4 linked regions of the Diceros bicornis minor genome follow. Each later gene encodes a partner of the first gene's protein in a complex. Links are inferred from orthologs where the notes say so. Each region holds a gene or a part of one and is shown in the gene's direction. Other genes may lie near its edges. The genes, in order: IMMT, MICOS13, APOO and CHCHD6.

Region 1 (7,916 bases):
GAATATAGGCCGCCCTGGAGAAATTTTGGAACAACCCTCTGACCTCAAATAACGACCTCCCCCCCTTTTTTTCCCCCGATAACCTCCACGCTGAACGCCCACTGTATCCTGCGCCAGCTCCCCGTTCTGTGAAGGCATAAATCGAGCACGCCGCTTTCCACTGACCTGATGCTGCTCTCACCGTACCGGCAAAGGCAGAGGCCGCCATCTTGCTACCCTGCCCTACGGCAGCCGCATTGGGTCTAACAGCTTCACGGCAAAAGGGAATTAGGGAAAGGAATTCGGAGGGCGTGGAGGCAGGGGGAAAAAAATGAATAAAGGAACGGTCAAGTTAACCTTTATTGAATGTCTTCTCTATGCCAGGCTGTCCTTCACAAGCTGTAAAACAAGAGCCTATGGAATAGTGCCTGGCATATAGTAGGCTCTCAAATTTTTATTGAGCATTTGATTGAAAAATACATTTAAAGTACACAACATACTTGAAACAATTCTTTTTGCTCATTTTATTATTTGAGATAATAAAACTTATTATCCTTCCAAAGCTGGTAGATGTTAGGCTAAATGAATGGGAAATAGCAATGTTATTAAAAGTAATTTTTTAAAAAAATTGAATGCCACTATAATCAAATGAATGTAAATATCCTAAGGATATCGCGCGCGCACACATTTTTCTACGCAGTAACACTGATTGCCATTTGTAGAACAGCATCTCAACTCTTCCTGAACAATTCTATGTTCCTTATTTTATTCCTGAGAATTAGTGATCATACATTTTTTTTCTAATGTTCAAGCAGGAAAAAAACCAACAAATCTCTCTCCCATCCTTGTCCCCTAAGATTTTTCATGCATTTACTATAAACACTATTTACTGGTTGAAATGGGTAAGGGTTGAACACTGGATCTTAAGGAGTTCACTTTTAATATGGAGACAAGTACAGAACATGAATACAAGGAAGATAAATAACTAATAGGGGCAGTTCAAGTTAAGGAGAGAAGGCTTCTGGTTGGAGTGATCAGGGATGAGGAGGTAGAATATAAAATGGGTCTTAAAGAATGGGGATGATTTTAACAAGGACAAGGTCAGTCTTGGCAGTAAGAACACCAAGAGCTAAGGTGAGGAGAGAGGGAACCAAAACAGAAGGACGCAGGATTTATTTAGGGCAGTGGTTCTTAACCGTTTTGGTCTTAGAACCTCTTTACATGCTTAAAAATTGAGGACCCCAAGGAACTTTTAATTATGTATTATACCTATTATTATTTACTATATTGGAAATTAAAATGGAGAAAAATGTAAAATACTTATTGTATTGGTCTCCTATTGCTGCTATAACAAATTACCACGAATTTAGTGGCTTAAAACAACACAATTTTATTATCTTACAGTTATGTAAGTCTGAAGTCCAAAATGGGTTTCATAAGGCTAAAATCAAGGTCCAGGGCTGTGTTACTTCAGGAGGCTCTAGGGAGAATCTGTTTCCCTGCTTTTCCTAGCTTCTAGAGGCTGCCTGCTTTCCTTGGCTTGTGGCCTCCTTCCACCTTCAAAGCCAGTAATCACATCACTCTGATGACTGCTTCCATTGTCACATCTCCTTTTCTAACTTTGACCCTCCTGCCTTCCCCTTTCACTCATAAAGACCTTTATGCCCACACAGATAATCTAGGATAGTCTCCCCATATCGATTCTTTTTTTTTTTGTGAGGAAGATCAGCCCTGAGCTAACACCCATACCAATCCTCCTCTTTTCGCTAACATCTGTGCCCACCTTCCTCCACCTTATATGGGACGCCACCACAGCATGGCCTGACAAGCGGAGCTTCGGTGCGCGCCCGGGATCTGAACCCCGGCTGCCAGCAGCAGACCGCTCGCACTTAATCGTTTTGCCATGTGGCCGGCCCTCAAGATTCTTTCTTTTTTTTTTTTTTTAAAGATTTTATCTATTTATTTTTTCCCCCCAAAGCCCCAGTAGATAGTTGTATGTCATAGTTGCACAACCTTCTAGTTGCTGTATGTGGGCCGCGGCCTCAGCATGGCTGGAGAAGCGGTGCGTTGGTGGGCGCGGGATCCGAACCCGGGCCGCCAGCAGCGGAGCACACGCGCTTAACTGCTAAGCCACGGGGCCAGCCCTCAAGATTCTTAATTTACTCACATCTGCAAAGTTTTTTTTGTCACGTAAGGTAACATATTCACAGGTTCCAAGCATTAGGAGAATGTGGACATATTTGCTGATAACTATTCTGCCTACAGCACTTAATTCATTTAAAAACAATTATAAACCTATTACATGTTAACATAAATATTTTTATGAAAAATAACTATTCTCAGTTAAAAAAAATTAGTGAGAAGAGTCTATTGTTTAACCTTTTAGCAAATCTCTTTAAGGTCTGGTTTAATAGAAAGCTGGGGGCTGGCCTGGTGGCGCAAGCGGTTAAGTGCGTGTGCTCCGCTGCGGCGGCCGGGGGTTCGCCGGTTCAGATCCCGGGCGTGCATCCAACGCACGGCTTGGCAAGCCATGCTGTGGCGGCTGCCATGTAAAGTGGAGGATGATGGGCATGGATGTTAGCCCAGGCCCAGTCTTCCTCAGCAAAAAAGAGGAGGATTGGCAAATGTTAGCTCAGGGCCGATCTTCCTCACAAAAAAAAAAAAATAGAACGCTGGATTCTGAAGTTCACTCATGCATTCAATCTGTTGCGATATCACTTGTCATGTAGCCTCTGGAAAAACTCTATTGTACAATTATGAGATAATGAGTGAAAACAGCAAATAATATCTTAATATTATGAAGATTGTTTTGATTTTATGGACCCTCTGAAAGTGTTTCAGGTTCACCAGAGAGTCCCAGATCACACTTTGGGAACCACTGAGATGGTTATATTTTATTTCTCTGGATTATAGTGTATACAAGCAGGTGACAAGCTTGGATGCTATTGTTGCTATCTTGCCTTCCCACGTAGTGTGGCCACTTTGGGCCTTTTTAATTTTTTTTAATAATTTTATTTATTTATTTTTCCCCCAAAGCCCCAGTAGATAGTTGTATGTCATAGTTGCACATCCTTCTAGTTGCTGTATGTGGGACGTGGCCTCAGCATGGCCGGAGAAGCAGTGCGTCGGTGCGCACCGGGGATCAGAACCCAGGCCCCCAGTAGCGGAGCACAAGCACTTAACCGCTAAGCCATGGGGCCGGCCCTTTTTTTTTTTGTGAGGAAGACCGGCCCTGAGCTAACATCTGCCAATCCTCCTCTTTTTGCTGAGGAAGACTAGCCCTGGGCTAACATCCATGCCCATCTTCCTGCACTTTATATGGGATGCCACCATAGCATGGCTTGACAAGCAGTGCGTCGGTGTGCACCCAGGATCCGAACCCATGAACCGGGCCACCGCAGCAGAGTGTGCGCACTTAACTGCTTGTGCCACCAGGCCAGCCCCCACTTTGGGCCTTAAACATCCACATATGCTGCAAAAGTACTGAGACAGTTTATGAAGGCTCTTTGAATTGGCAGTGGGAGTCACTGCACATTTTTGAACAGGGGAGTGCCTTCAATTTCTGAGTTACTTTAGGAGAGTTCATTTTAAAGCAAAAAAATTTTCATAAATTGCACGTGGAGGATGAAGATTTAGGACTTGGTTAAATGAGAGGTTACGAAACTATAGAAATTAATTTTGGAGTTTGAGATCTTGAAGCCGGAGAAGTTGCTAATGATGTGCAAGGTGTGGCTGTGCCATACATGGCTGGAGCAGACTGAAATTGCACAGCAGCATCGAGAGGTTTATGGCCAAGTTATCAGAAAAGTCATCACCCTGGCATGACTCAGCATGACAGCAGTGGACAGGGATGGAGTGGGGAGACGGCAATGCAATTGCTAAAATTAGACGGAAACCGCTCTGGAGGCTATTAGGCCATGGCGATATGAATTAGAGAGTATAATGTAATTACTAAAGTACCCTAAAAAGCATTGAACATATACAAACATAAGGAATTATTTGATTTTAGATAACTTTCAAATATATTTCTCCATTTTACAAATGGGATCAGTAGCATTGTCTACCTCTAAGGAGAACACCATACTGTAATACATAACCTAGTTAAGACTTGAAAGGACTTTGCAAACACAATAGATATACAAGTCACTTAGTTTCTATGATATTTTGATGATGATCATTAGTAATACTAATAGTATTGAATACTGTGTTTAATATTTAACATGTGATACCTTAATCATAGACTCAGTGGAATAATTTGAACAGTGCTTTTGCACTGACCTCCTTATCTTCCAACCCATCCCACAGACTAAAGCCAAAATTATCATTCTAAAATAAAAAATTGGTGGAGGAAGTAGTCTGGTTTAATTTGAAAGGAGTAAAAGCTGTGGAACCCGAAGAGTCTAGGTTCCTATCCCCGTTCGGCCATTTATTAGATACGTGAATGACACACTCCGCACTAAGGTCTCTCCTGTGTTCGTTCACCCAGTCTCCCGAAAAGTGGGTGACTCCCTTAAGAAGTGCCGTCAAACGAAACAAACGGCAAACCCAGACACCACCGTTGTTCACGTAACTCTGGCCAAATCGATTCCCTTCTACGAAATTTCCAGCTGCCAGTGACGGCTGAGATGCTTTCTTGCACGCATTCTCCAAATAGTCACACCAATCCCTTTTCCGGGCGGATCGAAGCCCGAGTATCACACGCCCTCCCTCCCCTCCCGTTCACCTAGTAACCCCGACTTTGGGTTACAGCCAGGAACCCCGAGCGACCCGGAAGGAGAAATCGTCCTTTCCGCCGGGGAGGCCCCACCCTGTCCGAACTGCCTGCGGAGGGCGAGAGAGAAGGCTGCGCGTGCGCAGTGGCGTTGGCTGCTCTTCCGGTACGCCCGGCGCGGAAAGGCGGCACGGACGCAGGCACGCACGCAACGCACTCCCTCCCCTAGTCGCGCGCCGCGGCTGTTCCCGCGTACGCTGGTAGCGCCGTCCATCGTGCGGAGATGCTGCGGGCCTGTCAGTTATCCGGCGTGACCGCCGCCGCTCAGGTGAGCGCGGGGCGCCGGGAGAGAGCGCGTGGTGAGGCTGATCGCAGACAACCAGCGGAAAATGGGGGAGGCTTTGGCTCTGCCTGGGCCCCGGGACAGAGGCGTGTCTCAGGGGCGCCCTCATTGCGAGAGAACCAGGCGGGCCTGTGAGGCAGTTAATTCGGGAGTTCGCGCGACAGGGATGACTTGAGGGTTATTGCAGAAGCGGGTTGGGGTGTGGAGAGAAGGTGGCGGGGAGGCGGGCGTAGGACGGGAGGCAAGGCTTCGGGGACGTTTCATCCAATCAGCCCCGCGCTGCCCCAGTCAAGGCCCGTGGCTGCTGGCGCCCGGGTCGCCGGTTGGGCGCGTGATAGGTTTAGCGCAGGCAGTGGTTGAAGGTCGAGGAGAGAGAACTACAGTTCCCAGCAGGACTTGCATGGCCTTGGCTTATCTTAATAAGGAGGTGGCTGAACTGCTCGAGTCCGCGTTGTAGGGGTCAAGGTTGTAATTATCCAGGAGGGACTACCTTTCTTTTCCTAGCCGAGAAAAGCTGTTCTTACTCTAAACAAAAATGGAAGATGGTAGTTTATGGGGCTCAAACTCCTGGTACTTGAGGAAAGTCAGGAGTTATGACCTTGTTCTCATTTCTGAGATCAGACTGGGGATCTGTGTCTCTAGGTGCCGAGACATCTTTGGCAGACGTTCAAGGAACCTAAACACCCAGTTACATTTATTTATGCATAATTATTAAAGTAACTTTCCAAAATTAAAAATAAAAAGGTAAACCTGTTTCCATTGCTCACAATTTAAAGAAAGTTGATATTTTGGCAAAATATTGTATTGGAAAACAGGTACTGTGACTTAAGCAGTAATTGGACAAAATCTCTAGACACAATGGGTTAAAAATCATAAAAGTCAAACTTCCTTTTTTTTTTTTTTCTTTTTTTTTAGATTTGCTTATCTCTCCATTTGTTGCCAGGGTAAGAGAAACAGCCTTTTCCATAGGAAAGTGGGGTCTGTATTAGTCTTCTATCGCTATGTAACAAATGCCACAAATTTAGTAGGTTAAAACAACGCCTATTTATTATCTTATAGTTTCTGGGCATGAATGATTGGAGTTCTCTGCTCATTGTCACAAGGCTGCAGTCAGAGTGTTGGCTGTGCTGTAGTTCTCATTTGGAGCTCATGGTCCTCTTCCAGTCTCATGTGGTTTGTTGGCGGAATTCAGGCCATTGCAGCTGTAGGACTGAAGTCCCTGTTTTCTTGCTAGCTCTCGCCTTGCCTCTCCTAGAGGCTGCGTGAAGTTCCTTGCCACAAGGTCCTTAGAGGCAGTTCATAACATGGATGTTTGCTTTCTTGCTGGCTACTGGGAGCTTGTCTCTCTGATTCAAAATCTTTCTTAACTTCCCTGTTTCTGATCTCTACACCCAGATTTAAAGGGCTCACATGATTAGGCCAGGCCCACCTGGATGACCTTTCTTTTCAACCCCAATTCAAAGTCAACTGATTAGTAATCTGAAATACATCTGCAAAATGCCTCTTGCCATACAACTGTAATAATGGGCTAACAGCAGAGGCTGGAGATCATGGGGCCATCTTAGAATCTGGCCTACCATCCTGTCAAGTGGGGGTAGAAGGATGGAGGGAGAGAGCTGCCTTGCAGGGGAGAACTGTTGAAGTTTATCTTTGGAGCCCTCCTTTCATGACACACTCTTCCTTGCTCTGACCTCAGGTTACATTATGGTTGTCACTGATCTGTCCCCTCTGTCTGCCCTACAATCCAAAATTACTTTTTCCTTCCTTGTCTTCATCAAAATTTTTTCCATTTATTGAGATTTTGATTAGGAAATTAGAAGAAAACTGGTTAAAACTTCTTACTAAAATATGAACCCTTTTCTAGCCTGCAACCAATATTTCTTACCTCCCTGAAATTGCTGTCTTGTAAAATTCATTGGTTTATTCTTACTATCTCCTCAGTCATTCTATAGCATTTGATGTTGTTGATTTGTGAAACCCCTTTTGCTCTTGTGGCTTTTCTCGTGTAGTACCTTGGGTCCCATCTTACCCTTCATTTCATTTCTCTCTTGTTTCCCTTTGTTGAGTTTGCTTCTTCCTTGACCTCTAAATATACCCCCAAAGTATTCTCTTCCCATCTCCCTTTTTTTTTTAAGACTTTATTTCTTTAGAGCAGTTTTAAGTTCACAGCAAAATGGAGGGGCAGGTACAGAGATTTCCTATATACTCTCTGCCCCTACACATGCATAGCCTCCCTCATTATCAACATCCCCCACCAGAGTGGTACATTTGTTACAATTGATGAACCTACATTGATGTATCGTGATCACCCAAAGTCTGTAGTTTACATTAGGGTTCACTCTTGGTGTTGTACATTCTATGGGTTTGGACAAATGTATGATGACGTGTATCCATCATGGTATCATACAGAGTATTGTCGCTGTCCTAATAATCCTCTGTGCTCCACATAATGATCACTCGCCCACCCCGCCCCTTGGCAACCGTTGATCTTTTTACTGTCTCCATAGTTTTGCTTTTCTCAGAATGTCATATAGATGGAATCATATAGTATATAGGCTTTTCAGATTGGCTTCTTTCACTTAGTAATATTCATTTAAGGTTCCTCCATGTCTTTTCATGGCTTGATAACGCATTTCTTTTTAGCACTGAATAATATTCCATTGTCTTGATGTATCACAGTTTATCCGTTCATCTACTGAAAAACATCTTGGTTGCTTCCAAGTTTTGGCAGTTAAGAATAAAGACGCAGTAAACATCTCTCTGCAGGTTTTTGTATGGATGTAAGTTTTCAACTTCTTTGGGTAAATAACCAAGGAGTGCAATTGCTGGATCACATCGTAAGAGCATGTCTAGTTTTGTAAGAAATTGTCAAACTCTCCTAAA
Region 2 (6,416 bases), on another chromosome or scaffold:
GGGAGCCTAGAACCAGGGGGCGGGGCCTGGGACTAGGTGGGGTGGAGCCTGGCCCGTGAGGGCGGGGCCAGGGCCCAGAGGGGGCGGAGCCATGGGTGCAGTGGGGCGGGGCCTGGAGAGGGAGCCTGGCCTGGAAGGGTGGAGCCATGGCAGAGGGGGCGGGGCCGTGGCACGGAGGGGCGGGGCCTGGGGACAGGCGGGATGGAGCCAGGCCGAGGGGGCGGAGCCATGGCCGCGGAGGGGCGGAGCACCTGCAAGAGCCAGCGTGTGGCTTGGGCGCTCCGGGCCCGCGTGCCGGCCGGGGCGGAGCCGAGGTGGTTCAGCACGAGGTAGTCCAGCCCGCCTGGCCGGGAGAGGTCCGTCAGCCCGGAGCTACTCCTTGAGGCTCCGCCCCTGGGACGCATGAGACTCCGCCCCAGCCCCGCCCCCTTGGACTAGCAAAGCTCTGGCCAGAGCATTGACCCAATGAGCTCCACCCTAGGTAGCGCCCCACTTAAGATCAAAGAGACCCCGCCCTACTCCCCACATCCTGCCAGACTTTGGTCCCTGATCCAATGAGGCCTGGTCCAGAGTTCCGACCCCTGGATGCTATAAGGCTCCACCCTTAGCCACGCCCAGGGCCCCATAAATCTCCACCCTCAGAAGTCTGTTACTACCACACCCCCACCCCAATTCGGGTCCTGCCCCTAAGGCCTAGGCCAACGTCCCACACTCCAGGCCCCGCCCCTCACCCAGCTTGTCCAGCGCAAACTGCACCACGCGCCCGGGCACCTCGGGGGAGGCCATGTCCGCAGCGATGTAGAAAACCTTGGGAGCGCCCAGCTTCCGGCAGTTCCCTACCACCTGGAGGGCCAGAGCTGCCCGTGGGCCCCTCCACCCCAGCGGGCCCCCCTCCACCTGCCGGGCCCATTGGGGCCCCAGCCTGAAGCCCCCTCCCCTACTCTGGGCCTCGGGGTTCATTCGCCATCATTCCGAAAGCTTTACCACTGGGGTCGCAAACTGGCAGCCTCAGGGCCAGAATAGGGGGTATTTTACTTGCTTAATCACCAACATTTAAAACTCAGAAGATTTCAAGTAAATCTCAGATTTCTGGCCTCTCTTGAAATTTTGGAAGGTTCGTCCCCAAGAGCTGTACATTTCCTTGGGGCATCAACGGGCTATTGCTAAGAAATGTCCACCATCCCTCTTTTGAGGCTGAGAACCCTGGCTATTGGCACAGGCCCTGGACACTATTAATACTGCCATTTATTGAGGAACATTCCCTCCTTCATACTCACTGTTTTATTGCATCAACCCAACATCGCAACCCATGAAAAGGCACTTTTATTGTCTCTGTTTGTAAACGAGGAAACTAAGGCTCAGAGAGGTTAAGCGACTTGCCCCAGGTCACACAGGAAGCCTGGATCCTTGTCGGGATTCAAACTTAGGCCTTGTTTTCCTCCCCACTCCCACTCCCACCATTAAACTCGAAATGGGGAGTCTCACCTTCTGCAGGAGGGCCTCGGTGTGGGCAGTGAGCACGAGGTGGGAGCCCAGGCGTGCGTAGTGGTAGGCCAGCTCCTCGCCGACGCCTGCGCTGGCTCCAGTCAGCAGCACACGGGCCCCCTGGAGGCTGGCTGGCAGTGAGCACAGGTGCTCAGCCTACAGGGTGGACAGGCCAGCCGGCCCAAGTCCTCCGTCCGCCACCCCAGGCGCTCACCTGGGTTGAAGTTGTCATCCCAATAATAGGCGAAGAAGAGGGCTCCCAGCCCGGTGAGGAGCAGTACCTTCATGGCCCCGCCTGGTCTGCAGCGGGAGAGAGGGTGGCCGCACAGGTCTGGCCCACAGGCACACCCGTTTCCCCAATTTCGATGAAGATGCTCCTGGCCCTGCCCCCTTCTCCATCTCCACTGCCACCACCTGGTCCAAGTCACCATAGAGCTCACCTGAACCGCTGTACCAATCCCCTTCCCTCTTGAGGGCTTTCTCCCTCCACGCAGCAACCCAATCACATCTTGCCTTCTTCCACTGAAAATCCTTCCGACAGAAGCCACACTCCTCGATGGCCAAAGAGGCCCCGCAGAGACCAGCCCTTCTTGCTGACTCTGCTTTCTGCCACACCAGCCTCTTAGCTGTTCCTCAGAACCAGCCAGTCACCATCTGCCTCAGGGCCTTTGCACTGGCTGTTCCCTCTGCCAGGAATGCTCTTCCCAAATATAACCCAACGGCTTGCTCTCTCACTTCTTTCAAGTCTCGCAGCAAAAATTACCTCCTCCGAGGGCGCTTCCTTGCCTTCCTTTTCTAAAGCACCTCCCTTCTGGGTTCCTCTCTCTCCCTGACCTCTAGAACTTTCATCTCCTTCTCAGCAACAAAATCATCTTGATGATTGTTACGTGATCACTGTCTCTCTCTCCCCCCAGAGTGTCAGCCCCACGAGGGCAGGAAGGAAATGAAAACCTGTTTTGTTTACTGTTGGGTCTTCAGCTCCCAAAACTGTGCTAGGCACACAGTTGGTGCTCAATAGATACTAGATTGACACAGAGGGATATGAGGAATGTGGGGGGGGGGGCCCAGAAAGACGACTGTCTGGAGACACCCAGAAGGAATTGGACACTCGGGGCTAGGTTAGGGACAGAGGAGCCCATGTCATCAGGGTTAAGACAAGACTTCAGCTGTGGTGGCCGATTTACTTGCTCAGGGAGAGGGCAAAAGAGAAATAGGCCAGGTACCGAAAGTTCGGGGGGTCATGGAACTCCCCTGAAAAGGGCACAAGCCGATCACATCTTGGGGTTTGTATCCTCTGAAGTAGGTGGGACAGAGGATGCACTGCAAAGTTCCACCTGCCTCCTGCGTCCCTCCCACCCGATCCTCGCCATGCAGCCAGGGGATCTTTGTCAAAAAAAATCCGGCAAGTCCCTTCCTGCTCCAGACCCTCCCAGCGCTCGCCACTGCCCCCAATGGAGACCAAGCGCTTCACCCCAGCCCACGGGCCCAGGGGTCTGGTCCCCGCCCACCTGTCCATCCTCATCTTCCCCCACTCTTGTCTATGAGCTCTCAGAAAAGTGAACTCCTCGCCCTTCCCCAGTCACGCCAGCCGTCCCTTCACCAGGGAACAAGCTCCCATCTCTCCCACTTCCAGGGGAAGTCCGTGAAGCCCCTCAGGTCAACCCTCCTCCCACCCCCGGCCCTGACACAGCAGCTCCGCAGGGGTCGGATGGGTGGATGGGTGGGTGGATGGGTGCGTGGGTGGGTGGACGGACGGACGGACGGACGGAGCAGCCAGGCTGCGATGGGGGAGGAATGGGGGGAAACAGATCCTCGCAGAACCCACCGGCTCCCTAACTTGGCCGGGCTTCAGTTTCCCCTCTGGACAAACGGGGTATGAAACCCCAACCGCGCACTCACCCACTCCAGCCTCAGTTTCTCCCGCGGTCCAGCGGGGGTGGGGTCCCGGCGCGGCAGCCAAGCGCGAGCCCCTCGGGCCTCCGCGGCGGCGTCTGGCCTGGCCCCCGACCGCGCCCCCTCCCATAAGGCCGGAATCACGTGATTCCCAGCCCACCTTCGAGGGTGGGAGGGACCAGACAGCAGGGACTCCGCGCTCGGGCGTTGCCGGGCAACAGCCTCCCGCCGGGCTCTCCCCTACCAAGCAGCGGCTCTGGCCCCGCCCCCTGGAGGGAAGCCCCACCCACCGAACGCGATCATATGACTTAGGCCCCGCCCCTCTCGCACAATTCCGCTCCCGCGTTGCCGTGACAACCGGCTTGGAGGCACACTCTTCCTGAGCCCGGGCTCTTCAGTCCCCCGCGCGGGCGCGGGTGGACCTCCCCGGCTCCGACATCTTCTTGGGTCACCCTCAGGCCCCACTCCAGACATCCGACTCCTCTTTCCCCTCACACCCCCAGGGCAGCGCCGCGCCGGACTACCTTTCCCAGGAGCGTCGGGGGCTAGGGGAGACGTCGGGTGCCTCACGGGGCGGTGCGGACTACATTTCCCAGACAGCTTTGCGGCGGCCGGGCCCTGACCATTACGCTTCCCGGAGTCCTTTCGCGGTGGGGCCGCAACCCTCTCTGGCGTCTTGGAGCCGGGACGAGACTCCGACTCCCAGAGGGCTTTGCGGTTGACAAGGGCGACTACGCCTCCCAGAGGCCTCTGCGGCGCCGCGACCGGAAGTGGCGGGCGAGTCCGGTGTCCTTGCGCGCGGAGGGGAGCGAACATGGTGTCCCGAGCGTGGTCGCTGATGAGGTGCGTGGGGTCGCCGGGCAGTCTCCGAGCCCCCGAGAAAGTCCCCTCCCGCGGGCACCCCCCTCCAGTTTGCTCCCGACCTGCTCTTCGATTTCCGTAATGTCAGGTCTCCATGGCCCAGACGGGGAAACTGAGGTTCAGGCGGGGAGAGGCTTCCCGAGGTCGCTTCGCAGCGAGCCCTTGCCCCCCCCGACTCTCTGTATCCAGACCCGTCTGAGCCTCAGTTGCCTGCTCTGCAAAATGGGGGTGCGCACGCATTTATTGGGAGGTTCGTGCGCGCCCAGAGCGCCTGTGACATATAGGAAGCGACCAGGGACGCTTAGAAACCACTCCCGCAGGTTGCTCGGGGCCGTGCCTCCCGGGGCTGGAAGGCAGAAGGTCAGGGGTCTTAAGTCTTCACTGTCCTCTGCGGGATCATGAGTGACCCCCTGGCCCTCTCCGGGCCTCAGTTTACCCGTTAAATGGGGTGAGTAGCCCTGTTTTGCACACTGTAAGTTGAGTGCTGTGCGTATCAGGCTCGCCTCTGGGCCCCGAGGGTGCCCTGTGCTTCCCCTCTTAGCTGCCTGGCTTCAGGTATGTCACTCTGGGCCCCCAGGGGCTCCGACTCACCCCCACCCCACCCGTGGCGCTGGACCCCCCCCCCGACGGTGGCTAGCAGTGTCCCCTCCCTGCCCGCAGGTTCCTCATCAAGGGCAGCGTGGCCGGGGTTGCAGTCTACCTGGTGTACGACCAGGACCTGCTGGGGCCCAGCGACAAGACACAGGCGGCCCTGCACAAGGCGGAGGAGGTGGTCCCCCCGGCCATGTACCAGTTCAGCCAGTACGTGTGCGAGCAGACGGGCCTGAAGATGCCCCAGGTAGCCTGCGATCCGAGTGAGGCTAAGGCTTGGCGGGGGGGTGGCTGTCATCTCTGGGGTGGCCTTCGGTCCCTGGTCCCTCCAGCCCTGCGTGGCGTCCTCTGAATGGGGGCCTGTGCTGCTCTGCCTGCCTCTGCGGGGGGGCCGGGGTTTCCTGTCCTCTGTCACCAGCCCCTTCTCCCCTCTCTTCCCAGCTCCCAGCCCCCCCAAAGTTTAACTTTCACCTCCGCGAGTCCTGGAATTCAGGTAGGCCTGGGGAGCTCCTCTGCTTGGGGGGGTGGCCTCGGCTACCCCAGTCTAGCACCCCCACCCCGGCTTCCTGGCCGTGCCTCTCCATTCTCCCCTTCCTGTTTTGCGCGCGTCTCCCACGGATGTGAAGGCGGGAAAGGGCTGGAGGTTTCAGGGCCGTGGGAGCAAGATGGAGCCACATGGGACTGGAGCTCGCGGCGTGACCTCAGACAAGGCGAGGCCCTGCCCCTCCTCTGCCTCAGTTTCCCCGTGTGGAATGGACGGAGCTGCAGGGGGCGCCTCTAAGAGCCTCGCGGAGTGGACTGACCCCCCCTGACTGAAGGCGTGGGCCCCCTTCCCTCCCACAGGCATCATGACAGTGATGTCGGCTCTGTCGGTGGCCCCCTCCAAGGCCTGCGAGTACTCCAAGGAGGGCTGGCAGTACCTGAAGGAGCGCGCCAAGTAGCCTGTCAGAGGGGGCCTCCCGCCCCTGTCGGGCACAGGGGCACGGGCGCCACCGACCTGGAGACTCCAGACTGGGACCTCACTCCGAGGGCAGCTCCCGGCCGTGCCGGCCCAATAAAGGACTTCGGAAGTGTTCCTTGACCTGTGTGCTCGCCCCCGGGGCGGAGGGTGGCCCGGTGGGCGCCCAGAGCACAGGGGCTGGGCTTCTGGCTCCTGGGGGCTCCTCAGGCCTGACATTGACCGCAGGCGTGGTTCACCCCTGATGTGGGGAGTGGGAGCAGACAGTTGGCCCCCGTGCTCCGTAGACAGTGCTCAGGACCCTGGGGAGGGGTGAGGAACCCAGCCTGGGTTGGGGGTCTCGGTTCGTGGAGGTCTGAGCCCAGGGTGGGGCAGTCTGGGAGCGGGGGATTCATGGTTCCTTCGCCGTCTACACGGCGAGGAGCCCCTGCGGGCAGTGATTCTCCATCCTGCTCAGCTCACTGATCTGCCCGTGTCTACTCTAGTCTAGTCCCCCCTCGCCTGGTCTCCACATTTGTTACACCCTCTCCCCACCCCCTGGGGATTCCTGGGGAACACAGGCCGGTGGTCATGGCCGTGCAGGGGATCTCCCCAGCCCACGAGATGTCCCCTGCTCCCCTGGGAAGCC
Region 3 (7,838 bases), on another chromosome or scaffold:
ATTACTAATTATAGACTACTGTAATCATGGGTGATTTTATTAGAAGAATATTTGGTACTATATGCAGGAAGGCTTAATACTCTGCCAAGGTTGCCAGAATTGTTTTTTTGGGGAGTCGGGCAATATGCATCTTGTTTTGTTTTTTTTGTGTGTGTTTTTTTACTCAAATAGGACCATATTATTCATGGTGTTTTGCACTTGCCTTTTTCACTAACGAGATATCTTAGCTATCTTTCTATCACAGAATCATATGCAAGGCTGCAAGGTTTAACACTACGAAAGCACCAACACTTATTTAACCAGCATCCTATCAATGGACATTATGTAGTTTACTCTCTTTGCTGTTACAAACAATACTGCAATGAAATTGTACATATATTGTAGAATGAACTCCTAGAAGTGAAATTGCTGGGTAGAAGGTAAGGGTACTTTTAATTCAGAGATTTTTATTGTTGGAAGATCACTGTCTCACATCTTCAAATAAAAAAATCAAATTTTTAAAAACATCATACTGGTTTCAGAAAAAGAAATAATAGTCACCCATGTTAAAAATAAATCCAGAAATATTCATTTAGGGCTAACCGAAGAAGCAATCCCAGAACCCCATGCAATATTATTAGATTCAAATAGAAGAGATAAAAAAGGTTATATATTCTACTTTTACTTAACAGACCTTTTAGCTTAATAAGTAATTAAATCTGTCAGAGAAAACAAAAAGCAAAATACATACCGCTGCACAAATTGTGTGCTTTAGGAGCTGAAATATTGTTTTGTCCATATGAGCTAACCAAGCTCTCTGTATCGTTTGAGCTGAAATATCTTTATTAACTCTGAGAGAAAAAAAGAGGCTAAGATTTGTGAAATATTTTTCATTTTCCTAAAATCTTGGGGAGCTCTGAATTTATGCTTCCTCCTCCTGTACCTCCCCATCCCCCACCCTAAAGCTGACCTAATGAGGAACATTTGGATGTGGTAATTGGAACTGGTCATTTGCAGAATCTAGTCAGAATGAGGATATGAAATACTTGATATTTCCCTTGAGATCAAAAAACAGTCCTGGCTTAAACTTTATCATCAAAAGGCATATATATTATAAATAAAAAGTGTGAGGGGACAAACTTGTTTTCTAAAAACATCCATGACCTAAAATGATTCCATTATGGTTAGTTCTTAAAAACACTGTCCAACTAGTTCAAGTGCTATGAAAATAGAATGAGGAATAGTCAAAGTTACAGCAGGCCCCATTCTCTTCTGGGAGCAGATGACCGTGCTCTAGAAAAAGAAACTCCCTTCTCTGATCTTTGCTTGAACCAGGCTTATCCCAGTCAGGCCAGAGAATTATTCTACTTTTGATCATATCCCAGCACTGGCAGATTGTAGGGATCCACCTCTCTGAGATTGGCCCACCCTGTCACTACCCCTCATAGGGCTACATGCAAAGAGAGGTAGGTACTCCTGTATAACGTCACCGTTAGCTGGCAAAATGCAGACTACAAGATGTTAGAGTAAAAAAGGCCTGAAATATGGAAACAAATCTTTGAATCCCAGCTGATGCCATTTATTAGCTGTTTAACCTTCTGCAAATCACTTACCTTCTCCCACTTGCTGCTTCCTCATCTACAAAATGTAATAATAAGATTGCTTCACCGGGTTGTGTCAGGATCAAAGAGATGTGTGTTAATATACTTTGTAAATTATGAAATACTATAATTATAATAGTTATTATTCAATTCAAAAGTAATTTTAAAACACAAAACCTCTAACTTACAAAACAAGAAATGTTGGATGTTAGCTAGGTAAATACCGTATGGAAACTGTCCAGTTGTGGAAAATGATACAGGCGATAGACGGCTACTTACTCTTGTATTGTCTTTGTCTTTAAAATATTTGACGAATGTACTTTGCGGCCTTTTCCTGAAGGTGGATTATCTGATTTTGAAACACCAGTAACCAATGCCTTTGAGGAACGACTCATTTTCCTTACAATGGAGTACTCTGAAAGTACATAAATTAAGCATTTGAGGTCATAATCTATATTATTACACTGGACAAGACTCAAGTGCCATATGATTGTTGCACTAATTCCGGAACCCCTTAGAAAGGAAGGCATCGTGGATCTCTTAATGTTGCTTACAGTTTACATTGTCTGCACTGCAGCTGGAATGAACTTTTTAGAGCAATAATCCAACCTTATCACTCCCCAACTTAAAATCTTTCAGGGACACCTCATTTCTTCCAAACTAAAGCCCCAGACTCCTTAGAAAGGCATTCAAGTCTTTTCAAAATCTAGTTCCATTCTCTTTCAAATCTCAAAATACCGACTTTCATCAGCATTCCTCTCCATGCTCTGTGAGAACAAGAACTTCTTGCCAAAATCATTCAATGTTTTACAACTCTGCCGCTGATCATGCCACTTCCTCTACCTGCAATGACTTCTCTACCACCAGCAAACATCAATTCATCCTTCAAGACCCCAGTTAATTGATGCCTCTTCTCTGAAGTTTTTCACCTTCTCTTTTTTACAGAACTGCTCACTCCTGTCTCCAAGGTCCCATAATACTGTATATGTTTTTCTTTTACAGTACTTCTCATATCGCGTCATATTTGTTTTCTTGGCTGTCACCCCAACAAGCTCGCTGAGACATCAGGAGACATCTTGCTAACTATGGAATCCCCAATGCCTAGCAGAGAGGAGGGTTTTTACAAGCTTGTCTAAAAACTTTCCATCCGGTTTTATCATGCAATAGCTGTGTGAGTTTGGGCAAGTCCCTTAACCTCTCAATAGCTCAGTTCTCTCCTTGGCAAAATGAGAGGGTGTGTACTTAATGATCTGATTCTACCTCTTTCTATCCTTTGACACATTACTCCAATTTGGATGCAGCTCCCAAATTCTTAGTCTCTGCTTAGTCTCTTCTACTAAACCAGGGGCTCTTGATCTTTTCTTTTGGTGCCATGGACCCTACAGACAGACTCTAAGAACTATATACATATATATTTTTTTATAATTTTATTTTATTTATTTTCCCCCAAAGCCCCAGTAGATAGTTATATGTCATAGCTGCACATCCTTCTAGTTGCTATATGTGGGACACGGCCTCAGCATGGTCGGAGAAGCGGTGCGTCAGTGAGCGCCCGGGATCCGAACCCGGGCCACCAGCAGCGGAGCCGTGCACTTAACCGCTAAGCCACGGGGCCGGCCCAAGAACTATATATTTTTAAATGCATAACATAAAATACATAGGATTACAAAGGACTCCAATTATATTGAAATCATTCTCAAAATATTTTCAAAAATAAAATCATAGAAATGTGTCTTCTTTATGCACTCAGTAAAATGAGAGCTCTAATAACTACTGTACTTGCGAAGTGGTAATGAGCAGAAATATTTCAAGAAATCTGCCATGACTGTAATGTGATATGAAAATATCTGTGCTTTCTATTGATGACAAAGCCACAGAGACTGCTGATACTACTGTGGTTTTTGCCTACACTATAGTTGAAAGAGATGCTAAAGTTCAGTTAGAGGTTAGTGAAAATAAAGTTGTAAATTTTTCCCCATCCAAGTTCACGTACCCCTTGAATTAAGAACTCTTGCCTTAATTTATCACTATACTTCACACTTTTATATAAATAGGGCATTCCCTTACTTATGCAGAGCCTTCAGAGTCTACTCAATATTTCTCCTTAGGGATAGGGATGGGGATGGCTTGGAACATACAATTCTCTCAAGAAAGAGAGAAGCAGCCCTTAACACCCGGGAGCTGGCCTGGCACTCACAGCTGGGCTTCAGTGTTACCCCGGCTTCCCAACAACACCCAATCCAGAGCAAAGCCCCTCTTCCTTGAACTCACCCCAAAATCACCCAACCAAAGCCCAAATCCTATAATAAATCTTTGTAACACCCAATTACTGAGATGCCCCACTGTTTTCCAAGGTGTGGGTTTTCCTCGCAGCAATGAGAAATAAACCCAACTTGTTCAACTACAGATGTGTTCCCAGTGGTCTTTGGCTGGATGGCAGTGACACGCCATCACACAAATCCCCAAATTCTTCTGGATGCCCCCCTGGATGGATTTACACTTTTTATGGGGTTAGGATGTGAAACAAGAATGAAATATGAAACACACCCCCATTATGAGACACTATAATAATTATTTAGGCAAGATCACAGGCTTTAAAGGTAGACTACCTAGTTTGGATCTTGGCTTCCCATTTTCCTTCTGTGTGGCCCTGTAAATTACTTCTCTGTGCCTCAGTTTCCTCATCTATTAGATTGGGAATAATAATCGTGCCCACCTACTTGGGTTGTCGGAAAGATTAGATGAATACGTGCAAAGAGCTTAGATAAGAGCTGGGCACATAGTAAACTGCCGTGTTAGTGCTCGCTATTCTTGTTCATAAGCTGATTACTGTCATTATTACTTATTTCTACTAGTTTTAAGGGACCGACATTTGATTCTCAGTGAGGGGCATACGCTTAAGTATTTTAAAGAGAAAAAAAGAGATCAGGGCCCTTCGAGACTAAAGGACGTGACAAATTAGTTTAAATTTAAAACCTCAGAAACGTCCAGCCCACAGTAAAAAAAAAAATCGGAAAACCTTTTGCGAGGTGAATCCAGGCCCCGAGGTCAGCGGCTTCCGGCTGCGAGGCTTTCGCAGCCGCCCGAGGCCCTCCGAGCGCCCTCGCCCGGCGGCCTCGGCGCACAGGATTCCCAGCCCACGCCTCTGGGCGCCCAATAGCGGCGGCGAAGGCCGATTCCCAGTGCTGTGCCGCGCCCGGCGCCTCGCTCCTCGCGCCCCCGCGTGCCGCCCACACTGAGCTGGCGCTTTCCTGCCGCCTAGCAACCGCCGGCTCAGGGGCGGAGCTTCCTGGAGGGCGGGGCTTGTGTTTTTTTGGGCCGGGGCGCGACGCTCTGCAGCTCCGCGACGCCGCTTCCAGCCCACGCTTCCGAACTACGCTTTCGCAGGATCGAATTGGCTGTACGGCCGGCCGTCATCCGCACTGCGGCCCGCCTGCAGTGGGAGGAATCAGGGCCCTACCCGGCCGCCGTATCCGCCTCTCTGTAGTGGGCGGGGCCGGGGCCGGGGTGACCCCGCCGGAACCGCCGCTGCCAGCAGCATGTTCAAGGTGAGAGCGTGGAACCGGGTCGCAGCTGTCACCGCCCCCTCTCGGCTTCCCGGAGCCCTCCTCGAGCTCTTGTGGGCCTCTCCGGGGACCAGGCCCGGCTCGTCCCGAGGCTTTTCCCGCCTCCGGACCGGCTGCGTCCCAGCCCCGCGGTTCATTCACCTGTCCGCTTGGAGCGAGCAGCTGCCGGGCGGAGGCGTGAGACCCCGGGGTGGGTGGGGGAGCTCTTTTGGTCGTGCTCTCCTTAATAAAATACTTTAAAAAGTTAAAGTACCCCCCAGAGTCTCCACCCTGCCCCCCACCGGCTGGTGCTCTCTTGGGTTCGTGGGTAGGGTGAGGCCAGCTCAAGGCACTGCAGGGTTCGGCTTTGGTTGCCTGGCAGAGTCAGGTTTCAGAACCTGGTGTGTGAATGGGGGAGGGTCAACTTTGGAGAAGCTGCTGCAGGGTGTAGGGGAGGCTGGCATGGGAATGGCTGGGTGAGGGGAGAAGCTGGAGCTTTGCTCTCCTCCCCAGGAAGCATTATTTAGTATGGACAAGTCGACCCTCTTTACTTTTATGAACTCGTCGTCTTTGAAAGAAATTGATTTTTACAGTGAAGACTTTGTTCGAAAATCTGCATTTTAACGTGAAGCCATTATCATACCACTTTAAAAAAAATGATATTTTCTATCACGAAGAACAAATCACAAGCTACCAGAAATTAGTCTACAAAATTGAGTCTTCAAGAAGCATAGAAACCATAAAATAATGCTAATGGAATTTCAAAATTGTACTACTCATTTAAAAGTTTTATTGAGCTCCTGCAGTGTACTTTGGGCACATTAGTACAGGTTATAAAATCGGAACATGGATTGTCTTCCAATCTTAGCATCACAGCTTTCTAGCTGTGTGACCTTGGGCAAGTCACTTAACCTCTCTTTGCCTGTTTTCAAATAGGTGAAATTGGGGGGACTAGCATCTTCCTCATAGGGTTGTTATAAGGAATAAAAAAGTTAGTGTGTGTAAGGCACTTGGAAGAAACCCTGGCACATAGAAGTGCCATCTACGTATTCGCTTTTATTTTGTTCTCAGGAAGGTCCCAGTTTAGTCAGGATGACAGAGCCCAAAAGCAATTTATGTTCATTTGATAAATTTGTGTTGAACGCCTATAATGTGCTAGGAGCTCAGCTCAGTTTTAGGGTTGCAACAACAAAGAATATGCTGTGATCAGTTGACATGGGTATCAACAATATACCATGTTGGTAAAAGGGAGAGCAGGATCTGCTCTGCCTAACTAGGGGTTCTTATCCTGTGGTCCTCAGCCCTTCAGAGAGTCTGAATAGAATTCGGGGGGTTCCTGAACTCTGATGGGAAAAAATCTTTATTTTCACCAATCTCCAACTGAAATTTAGCATTTCTTTCAGTTATAAATGTAGGTAACTGTTTCAGTTATCTTGCTGCATAGTGAACCACTGCAACTCAGTGCCTTGAAACAACGATGATTTATTATTTCTCACCATCTGTAGATTGTCTGGGCAGTTCTGCTGCCATCCCCCCGTGGCTGCATTTAGGTGGTGGCTAGGCTACAAGGTGGCCTAACTCCCATGTCTGGGAGCTTGGTGCCCCTCACTGTGCCTAACTTGGGCTTCCTCACATGATTACTGGGTTCCAAGAGGGCTAGTCCCAATGCCCAAACACCTGCTTGCATCACATTTGCTGATGTGAAAACAAGTCGCATGGCCAAGCCCAGAGTCAGTATGGTGGAGGACCACATCAGAGCATGGATATGAGGCCGTGTGGTTCACTGGGAGTGATTAATTTAATAAGCTACTACAGCAACAAACCACAGTAGTAGTAGCAGTACCTGTCACCAGTAGAAGTCACAGGACCAATGCATGTCACAGACATTTTCATATTGCATTACAGGTGTTGCAGATCTCAGAATATCATTTATGCTCATCACTACTTCAAAATTACAGTAGTTATAAGACTCACTCTTAGATCTTTTTATTTAATGAGCTAATAAGCACATATTACTATATCAGATTTGGGGTTTAAAAAATATCTTTATAACTATTGCAATAGGTGTTTTATGGAATTAGAAGCATTATTTTGAGAAGGGGTCCATAGGGCTCACCAGGCTACCAAAGAGGTCTATGGCACAAAAAAGGCAAGGAACCCCTGGGGACTTCACGGGAGGCTTCACAGAGGAGACATTTAAATTTAGTTTTGAAAGACAAGTTGGAGTTCCTCAGGTGGAGGAGTTGGGAAACATTAGCAGTGGTACTCCATTGGAGGAAGTGCCAGTAGCTCAGTTCTCCTGTGTCACGGGAAGATACAGTGAACTGAAATTATCTAAACGTAGTTTGAGTAGAAAAAAATCACAACAAACCTTGGTGGACAACAAAATGTAAGGAGTAGGCAGAGGAAGAGGGAAGGCCAGAGATGTTTGAGAAGCAAATTTTGATAAGTAGCAGTAGGAGCACAAAAGAGTGATGTTGAGAAAATCAAGAGAGGAAAGTTGCACGGAGGACAGCCTATGTTAAGATGCTTTCAACTAGGAAAACAGTTGCTTAAATAGTAAGGAAAGTTATCTCACCAAGTCCAGGGGAAGTGTAGACTCCAGTGGGTCAACGATGTCATCAAGGACCTGGTCTCTTTTCTTGGCTTTCCATAGTAAGATTGGTTCCCCTTATGGTTGCAAGATGACTGCCAGTACACATGCTTTCCCATT
Region 4 (7,083 bases), on another chromosome or scaffold:
CCTCCTTATTCTTGATCTTGGGGGAAAGTTTCCTTCTGGCTTTTAACATTGACAAAAGCAAATTACTTTTCTTAGTTGTCTACTCTACCAGCCCTTCTTTTCTTCTTCTCTGCTTCTGGAGAACCCAATTTAAGAGAAGCTACCTGACACAACTCCCCCTCCAAACAACCCTCAATACTGGTTGTGAAACTGTTATTTCCAAAAATAAAATCTTTCAGTAATAATGTTACCGGACACAAACACAGGTTATTTTACCGATCACACAAGAGGGGCCAAAATAAAAACTGGAATGCCAGGCTCATGGCAAGGAAAGGGTTAGCCAGATGAGGACAATGGGAGCTAAATCTGAGATCTACCTCCTCAAAGGGAAAAAGGTAGGGGTTTTTATTTGAGGTTTTAGGCAGGGGAGGGGGAGCCTGTGGCCTTGCAGGTTGGTGCCTTCCCACCAGCCTGCTTTCTACCTTGTGAGGCTGCTGGCAGGGAAGGAGATGGTGAGATGAGGGAATCTGCAGGTGGGTGTCCTTGGTTGTCTGTCTCCATGATGGACGGTGGGTTCTGGTGCCAGGAAGCCCAGGAGTTGGGGTCTGGGAAGCTTCAGCTTCTTGATATTCGCTAGACATCAGTTTCCCTGTAATAAACTTCAAGAATACAGAAGTTAAAGAAAGCGATATTTACATGTGAATGCAACTTGGAGAAGCAGGGAGAGGGGATGGGTGCTTTTGGTTTTAACCCCATATGTGCTGGGGTTAATGGAGGAGAACTGATATCAGGGCCAGCATCAATAACAGCTGTCACTGAATGAGTCCACTAAGTGCGGAGCTCTGGGCAAGCACTCCATGTCACGTCAGCACCACTCTCATATCCGTCAGAAAACGGAGGCGCAAGGAGATTCAATAACTTGCCCAGAGGCAAACGTCTAGGAGGCAGACCTCAGCCCTGCACTCGATCTCACATCGCCACATCTCACTGCTCTCTTCAGCGCTGTGCTCTTCTCTGGGTACGTCACCGCTCAAGAGCCTTCTTGGCCAGAGGTAGGCCACAGTGTCATTTCCAGCTGCAAGGCACAAGGGAGTCTGGGGAGGGAAGTATTTTTTCCCCAGGTGCAGAATTTTATTTTATTTCCTAATTATTATTCTGAAAAATTTCAAACCCATAAAAACAGTGAAATAATAATAAATGGACTCGAATATATATTTCACTTAGATTCACCTATTGTTAACATTTTTTTTCTGAATCTTTTGAGGGCAAGTTGCAGAAACTATAACACTCCACCCCTAAATACGTCAGCATGCATCTCCCAAGAACAAGAAAATTAACATTAATTCAATAATATCATCTAGGACACTATTCCACATGTAAAACTTCCCCAGTTGTCCCAATTACCTTTTCATACCCTCGTTCTTGTTTTTGCTGTTATCGTTTTAATCCAGATCTAATCAAGATTCACCGTTGCATTCCATTGTTATGCTTCTTTCATCTCTTTTAAACTTCCTTGTTTTGTGTTTTGTTATGTTTTTCATGACATTGACCTTTTGGAAGAGTTCAGGACCATTGTTTTGCAGGATGTTTCACATTCTGGATTTGCCTATTGTTTCCTCATGATTGGCTTCTGGTCACATATTTTTGACAACAATACTCCACAGGAGATATTGTGTGCTCCTTACTGCATCGCATCTGGAGGGCCATCACGTCACGTTGTCCCACTCTTCACAATGCTGAATTTGGCCATCTGGCTAAGGCAGTGACTTCCAAGTCTTGTCATTGTAGCACAGTTTTCCCTTGGTAGCTATTAAGGCATTTGCGGTGAGACTGGGAGGTTGGGTGAACACCCTGTTCCCCAATCACTTATAGTGAGCTATACCCAATAGCTAGCTATACCCAATCTTCTGCTGTTACAAATTATGCACTGATTACTTTATATGTACCTACTTTATTTCATGTTGTTATCACTGCATTTTGGGAAGACATTCCTAGACGCAGAATTGATGAGTAAAGGGTAAATGCTTATGTAATAATCACTAGCTATTGGGTATAGCTAGCTATACACGATCACTAAGCTATACCCAATAGCTTTAGTATCCATTGATGATTTTTACCTGATTCAGTTAATTCATGGAGGGTTGCAAAATGGCAATTTTTAAATCTCACATTTATTTGCTGGTATTCTTTTGTAAAGAAGAGGTTTCCTTTTTTTTCCATCCTCTCTCTCTTTCAACACATGGACAATTGGATTTCGAAAAAAAACTAAATGTGTTATAAGCTCAAATTATCAAATTGTTATAATGCTTAAACTGTCCCAAGTTTGGCCAGTGGGAGCCTAGGAGGCAAATTTTTCTAACCAGGCACATTGCTGCACCAAAGGGAAGTGGGGTTCTGTTGTAAGGAAAGGGAGGATGGGTACTGGGCAGCAACTCGTGGGCCTGTCACAACATCTTACCTCCCCAAGCCTCAGTGTCCTGGGCCTTAGGACAGGGTGACAGCTCTCTCAGGATGGTTTCCAGAACTAAATGAATTGGCCATGGATTAACTGCATGAAAAGCATGTGTGCCTGTGTCATAGAGCCTGGCACAAAGAAAGTGCTCAAAATATATGCATTTCCCTTCCCCTCTTCTCCTCTGCTTTCCTCTGCCATTGGCTTTGCTCAAATCCTCATTCTACTTTGGATTTATAATGTCACATTATCTTCACCTGTTAGTGCCTCAGTTTTCTTGTTTGTGAAATGGGGATACAGAACTGGCTGGGTTGTCAGGAGGCTCAGCTATGCTGCCATGAGTATAACGCCCACTCTAAGTGTCGGGAGGTTTCAATTCTCTCCCAGGATTTTGCACACAGGGGGAGACCACACACAGTCTCATGGTCACCTGTGGCTCTGACTCTTGTTTTGCTGAGTTAGTTCAGTGTGTTAATTATTTCGTCATTTGACCCAGAAGTGAAATCCAGCCCTTTTCTTAATTTTTACAACCCTCTCCCCACACACATGGTCACATATGACATTTGGGTGTCTGGTAGACCTTGAAAATTATTTGGAGCGTGTAGTGGGTGCTGAAGGTGCCTCACCCAGATTTTTTTACTAGCTGGTGAGGCCATCCCCAGCCACTGTGGGTGTGGCTGTCGACAGCTCACAGATGCCCCCTTTGCTGGGGAATTGTCCTAGGCGCAAAATAAAACTCTGACCCTCGCCTATAAGGCCGTACGTGATCTGGGTCCTTCCTGTTCCTCTGACCTCTTTGCCTCTGGCTCTCCTCTGCTCCTTTCTCACTCTCCAGTCCCGTAGCTGGGCCGTGAACGTAGCAAGGTCTTTCCTGCCTCAGCGCCTTTGCACTGGTTGGTCTCCAGCAAAGTTCTTCCCCAGCTTCTCCTGGCTAACTCCTACTAGTGCTTAGGTCTCAACTCAAATGCTTCTTCCTCAGAGAGGTTGCTCTGGCCTCTCAAATTAAAGGATACCCCCTCCTATTAATTTCTCTCATGGCCTCGTGATGCTCTTGTTTTCCGTTTATGGCACTTAGTAAGTTTATTTATGCGCTTGTTTGTCTTTTCATTTGCTTCCTCCATTATATCTAAACCTCAGGAAGGCAGGATATGTCGTGTTCGTCGTTGTGTTCCCCACGGCTAGGTCAATGCTTGCCCGGTGCTTAGTGAGTGCTGCTCAATACCAGTTTGCTGAGTGAACCAATCAGGGAACCATCCGACGTGCGCCTCCACGTGCTCGGCTCAGCCTCCTCGGCGGTGTCCTGGCCTCACACCATCACCCTTGGCTCTGCTTCCAGGGTGGTCTTTCCAGAGCGAGCAACCATCTCCGTCGTGCTCCTTAGCCTGCCACTCCAGGTTCCACGTCCGCACCCACTCTCCGCTTCCCTCCAACACGCTTCCCGCAGCTCAGCCACCACGCCTCCCGGAGAAGGCTGGTTCTGGAAGGGCAGCCGGGGCGGTGAGACTACAGCTCCCACAATGCCTCGCAGGCCCGCGCCACATGATTGGCTGAGCTTCCGGCAGCGGCCAATAGGACGCGGTGTTGTTGGCTTGTGCCGCGGCAGCCCGAGTCCTGGGAAGTGCGGGGCGCGCAGGGAACGCGGCCCGGCGTCTGCTTGTGCTCCGAGCTGGGGCGCGTGGCTGCTTTGCTGCCTGTCCGCCTCCTGCCATGGGCAGCACCGAGAGCAGCGAGGGCCGCAGGGTGTCCTTCGGCATGGATGAGGAGGAGCGGGTCCGGGTGCTGGAGGGCATCCGGGTGAGCGGGCCGCCGGCGGGCGCGACGAGCGAGCGCGACCTGGGCCGGGCGGGCGGACGGCGCCGAGGGCGCGGAGGCCGGGCGGGTGAGGGAGGTGCGGGCCGGAGGGCGAGCGGCCTCGCCCGTGAGCCCTGCCGGCTCCCTGGTGGCGAGCGGCTGTCCCTCCGCCGTGTAGAAGAGGACGTGAGGCTCGGAGATGCCCGGGGTCCCCGCCCGGGGAGTGGCCGCTGGAAGGTTTCACCGCCACCCTGACGTCAGGCTGGCCCCGGGGAGAAGGAGTGGAGAACGGGACAGGTGGGGAGGCCACGTTCCAGCTCCGGGTGGCTTGTCACAGACCTGAATTTTTCCCCCGCCCTGGTGCGTGCATCTTGTTATGTATACAGGATGCTTCCAATCCTGGACACCTGCCACAGCCTCTCAGCACCGCAGCCACGGGGCACTTGAACAGTTGTGAATCATCATATACCCTTCCCCCTGCTTAAAACCGTCCGCTGGATCCCTAGCGCATTTAAACTGAAGAGGAACCGCCTACCTTGTTTTACAAAGCTGTGCTGCTGACCTCTCCGACCACATCTCATGCCAGCTCCGTCACTCCCACCCCCCATCTATTCACTAGCCTCAGGTCTTCCTTGTCCCTGTAAGGTGCCAGCTTGCTCCAAGCACACAATCTCGGCATTCGCTGTTTTCTCTTCCCCAGCTTTTCTAATATCTAGATCTTATCGTTATTGTTCAAATATTATATGAACATCCTTGCCTGACCACTCGATCTAAAGTAGCTTCCCACCTGCACTGTCACACTTATTTTTTTCATAGTACTCATCGCCATTTGAAACGTCTATTGATAATTAACTTGTTTATTGTGTTTCCCACTACAGTGTAGGCTCCTTGAGGCTCAGGCTCTTGTCCAGTTCCTGAGTGTTAACCCCAGAACTTAGAAGAATTAATAAAAGCAGCTCACATTTGAGTGCTTAGTGGGAGCCATGCGTTGTGCTAAACCCTTTACAGGTATCCTCACATTTTCAACAGCCAAGAGGTAGATTTCTGTTAGCCAGTTTAATAGATTAAGGACAGCTGAGGCACTAAGAGATGCAGTAACTCATCCAAGGTCACTAGGTAACAAGTGGGCTAGTTGGGGTTGAAGTAGGCCAACTTCAGGGCCTGTTCATTGAATGCTTCCTATCCTCCTGCACCTGTGCCTGGGACATAGTGGGTGCTTTGTAAATAATTGTTGAGTAATTAAATGGATGAACCCAGTGAAACAGGGGCCAAGTTTAAATGGAATGCACAGAGTTGGTGAATTAGTTAGGGAGGTGGCTGAGAAAAAGACATCGGGAGGTCTAACTCCTGGGCAGATGCTCATTAGCTTTGTGACCTTAGGTGAACAACTTATCTTTTGAATCTCAATCACCACATTTTTTAAAAAAATGGGAGGAGGGTGTGATAATCCTAGGTGCTGCCTCAGATAAGATGAAGATGCGTGTGGAGGTGTTTAGAAAAAGTAGAGTGTTTTGTGGGAGCCTCTATTCTTAGCATAGTACTTAGCACGTTTGGTGCTTGCTAGGTGTTATCTAGTCTTGACCTGGCTCTTGGCAACGACAAAATAGGGAGGAGATGGACCGCATTGGAAGATTGAGAGGCAGGAGCCTGAATTGGAATTTAGGAAGATACCCTTGACTCTGTTTGGGTGCTCTCCCACGTTTGTCACTTGGTATCCTGCTTTTGGGAATGTTGGAAAGATAGGTCAGTCAGAGTCCCTTCGAAGGTGACTTCTAAGTTCACAGATGAACATCTTTTTTGGCTATATCAGACAGGTACATTTTATTTCTAGTTCTCTTAGCAGTTCTGCAAAGTATAAATTCTCTTTTAAGATGGAGAATCAGGCTTACAGAGGTTAAGAAATTTTTCCAAAGTGTTACCTGAGTAACTTCTGGGACTTTAATCCAGATATTTGGGTTTGAGCAACAGCCTTTTCTCACTACTCTAAGCTCCCTCCTCCTAGTGATATGCAAGGCAGTGTGAACATTCTGTGACAAAGCCTCTACCTGTCCTGACAGGGTGCTGGTGCCCACTTAGTTCTTCCAGACTGTTAAAACTTGAGGGAGTTTTGGTGACTGACTGCTGGGCAAACTCATCAAAGAGAATAAATGACTTGTCTAGAGGCACACAGTGGGTGCGCGGCCCCATGCTCTGAGAGCCCCTTCCTTTCTTCCTTCTGCTTGTGTGCCTGGTTTCAGAGAAGGAGATCAGAGAAAGGAGGCGATTGCAATGAAGTGTTTTGGTGTAGGGGCTTTTTCTGCTAGCAAAGTTATTTTGAGGGTTGGGGAGTCCACCATGTCTTTAAGCAGACAAGTGGAAAAAATAAGTAGAAGAGATCATTGAATGAACCAGTGAGAACTTAGTTTAATAGAAGGTAGAAACTAAACAAAATGCCCCAGCTCCTTCAGAGAAAGTTAAATATTCTTAAAGACCGCTTGTATTTAATCCCCTGGGCCTGGTCCTGGAAAGTGCTTTAGTTCCCTTAAAATTAAATACCAGGGCCTTGCTAGTTTGCACACTTATTTGCATAAATTTACATATCAAGTTCAAGCCCTAATTCCATGGAAGGTAAAAGAAATTTAATTAATGCAAAATGCTGCAATTATATTAAACTCCAGTTTTCAGAGCAAGCATGTGTGAAATTATACATAAAGATTTCATTTCAACCAGTATGTTTAACCTCATCCTTCAATAAGAGAGGGTACACACGTGGCAATAACGTCCTGTGTATGTCCACTTTTCCTCTTCTCCACCCCACGTAAGCAGCCCACTTTGGTAATTCAGCTGAAAGTTGTTGCTTGTCAACATCCAGACTCCTCACA

What was found.
Region 2: IMMT (region 1) and MICOS13 share a complex: the UniProt entries of both Homo sapiens proteins name them as parts of the mitochondrial contact site and cristae organizing system (MICOS) complex. The link is inferred for Diceros bicornis minor from reciprocal best matches to the Homo sapiens genes IMMT and MICOS13.
Region 3: IMMT (region 1) and APOO share a complex: the UniProt entries of both Homo sapiens proteins name them as parts of the mitochondrial contact site and cristae organizing system (MICOS) complex. The link is inferred for Diceros bicornis minor from reciprocal best matches to the Homo sapiens genes IMMT and APOO.
Region 4: IMMT (region 1) and CHCHD6 share a complex: the UniProt entries of both Homo sapiens proteins name them as parts of the mitochondrial contact site and cristae organizing system (MICOS) complex. The link is inferred for Diceros bicornis minor from reciprocal best matches to the Homo sapiens genes IMMT and CHCHD6.

What each region holds. Positions count from the first base shown.
Region 1 is NC_080751.1:3,826,074-3,833,989, forward strand, and holds the start of IMMT (MICOS complex subunit MIC60), read left to right. Parts: upstream 1-4,899; 5' UTR 4,900-4,973; coding exon 4,974-5,018; intron 5,019-7,916. Other genes in the region: MRPL35 (large ribosomal subunit protein bL35m), read right to left, coding at 166-208. UniProt on the Homo sapiens protein: Component of the MICOS complex, a large protein complex of the mitochondrial inner membrane that plays crucial roles in the maintenance of crista junctions, inner membrane architecture, and formation of contact sites to the outer membrane.
Region 2 is NW_026691615.1:2,511,132-2,517,547, forward strand, and holds MICOS13 (MICOS complex subunit MIC13), read left to right. Parts: upstream 1-4,093; 5' UTR 4,094-4,192; coding exon 4,193-4,221; intron 4,222-4,899; coding exon 4,900-5,077; intron 5,078-5,271; coding exon 5,272-5,323; intron 5,324-5,673; coding exon 5,674-5,771; 3' UTR 5,772-5,906; downstream 5,907-6,416. Other genes in the region: HSD11B1L (hydroxysteroid 11-beta-dehydrogenase 1-like protein), read right to left, coding at 732-843, 1,486-1,616, 1,700-1,816, 3,385-3,508. UniProt on the Homo sapiens protein: Component of the MICOS complex, a large protein complex of the mitochondrial inner membrane that plays crucial roles in the maintenance of crista junctions, inner membrane architecture, and formation of contact sites to the outer membrane.
Region 3 is NC_080781.1:20,078,780-20,086,617, reverse strand, and holds the start of APOO (MICOS complex subunit MIC26), read left to right. Parts: upstream 1-4,835; 5' UTR 4,836-5,119; coding exon 5,120-5,128; intron 5,129-7,838. Other genes in the region: CXHXorf58 (uncharacterized protein CXorf58 homolog), read right to left, coding at 731-830, 1,860-1,975. UniProt on the Homo sapiens protein: Component of the MICOS complex, a large protein complex of the mitochondrial inner membrane that plays crucial roles in the maintenance of crista junctions, inner membrane architecture, and formation of contact sites to the outer membrane.
Region 4 is NC_080741.1:91,423,572-91,430,654, forward strand, and holds the start of CHCHD6 (MICOS complex subunit MIC25), read left to right. Parts: upstream 1-4,070; 5' UTR 4,071-4,138; coding exon 4,139-4,225; intron 4,226-7,083. UniProt on the Homo sapiens protein: Component of the MICOS complex, a large protein complex of the mitochondrial inner membrane that plays crucial roles in the maintenance of crista junctions, inner membrane architecture, and formation of contact sites to the outer membrane.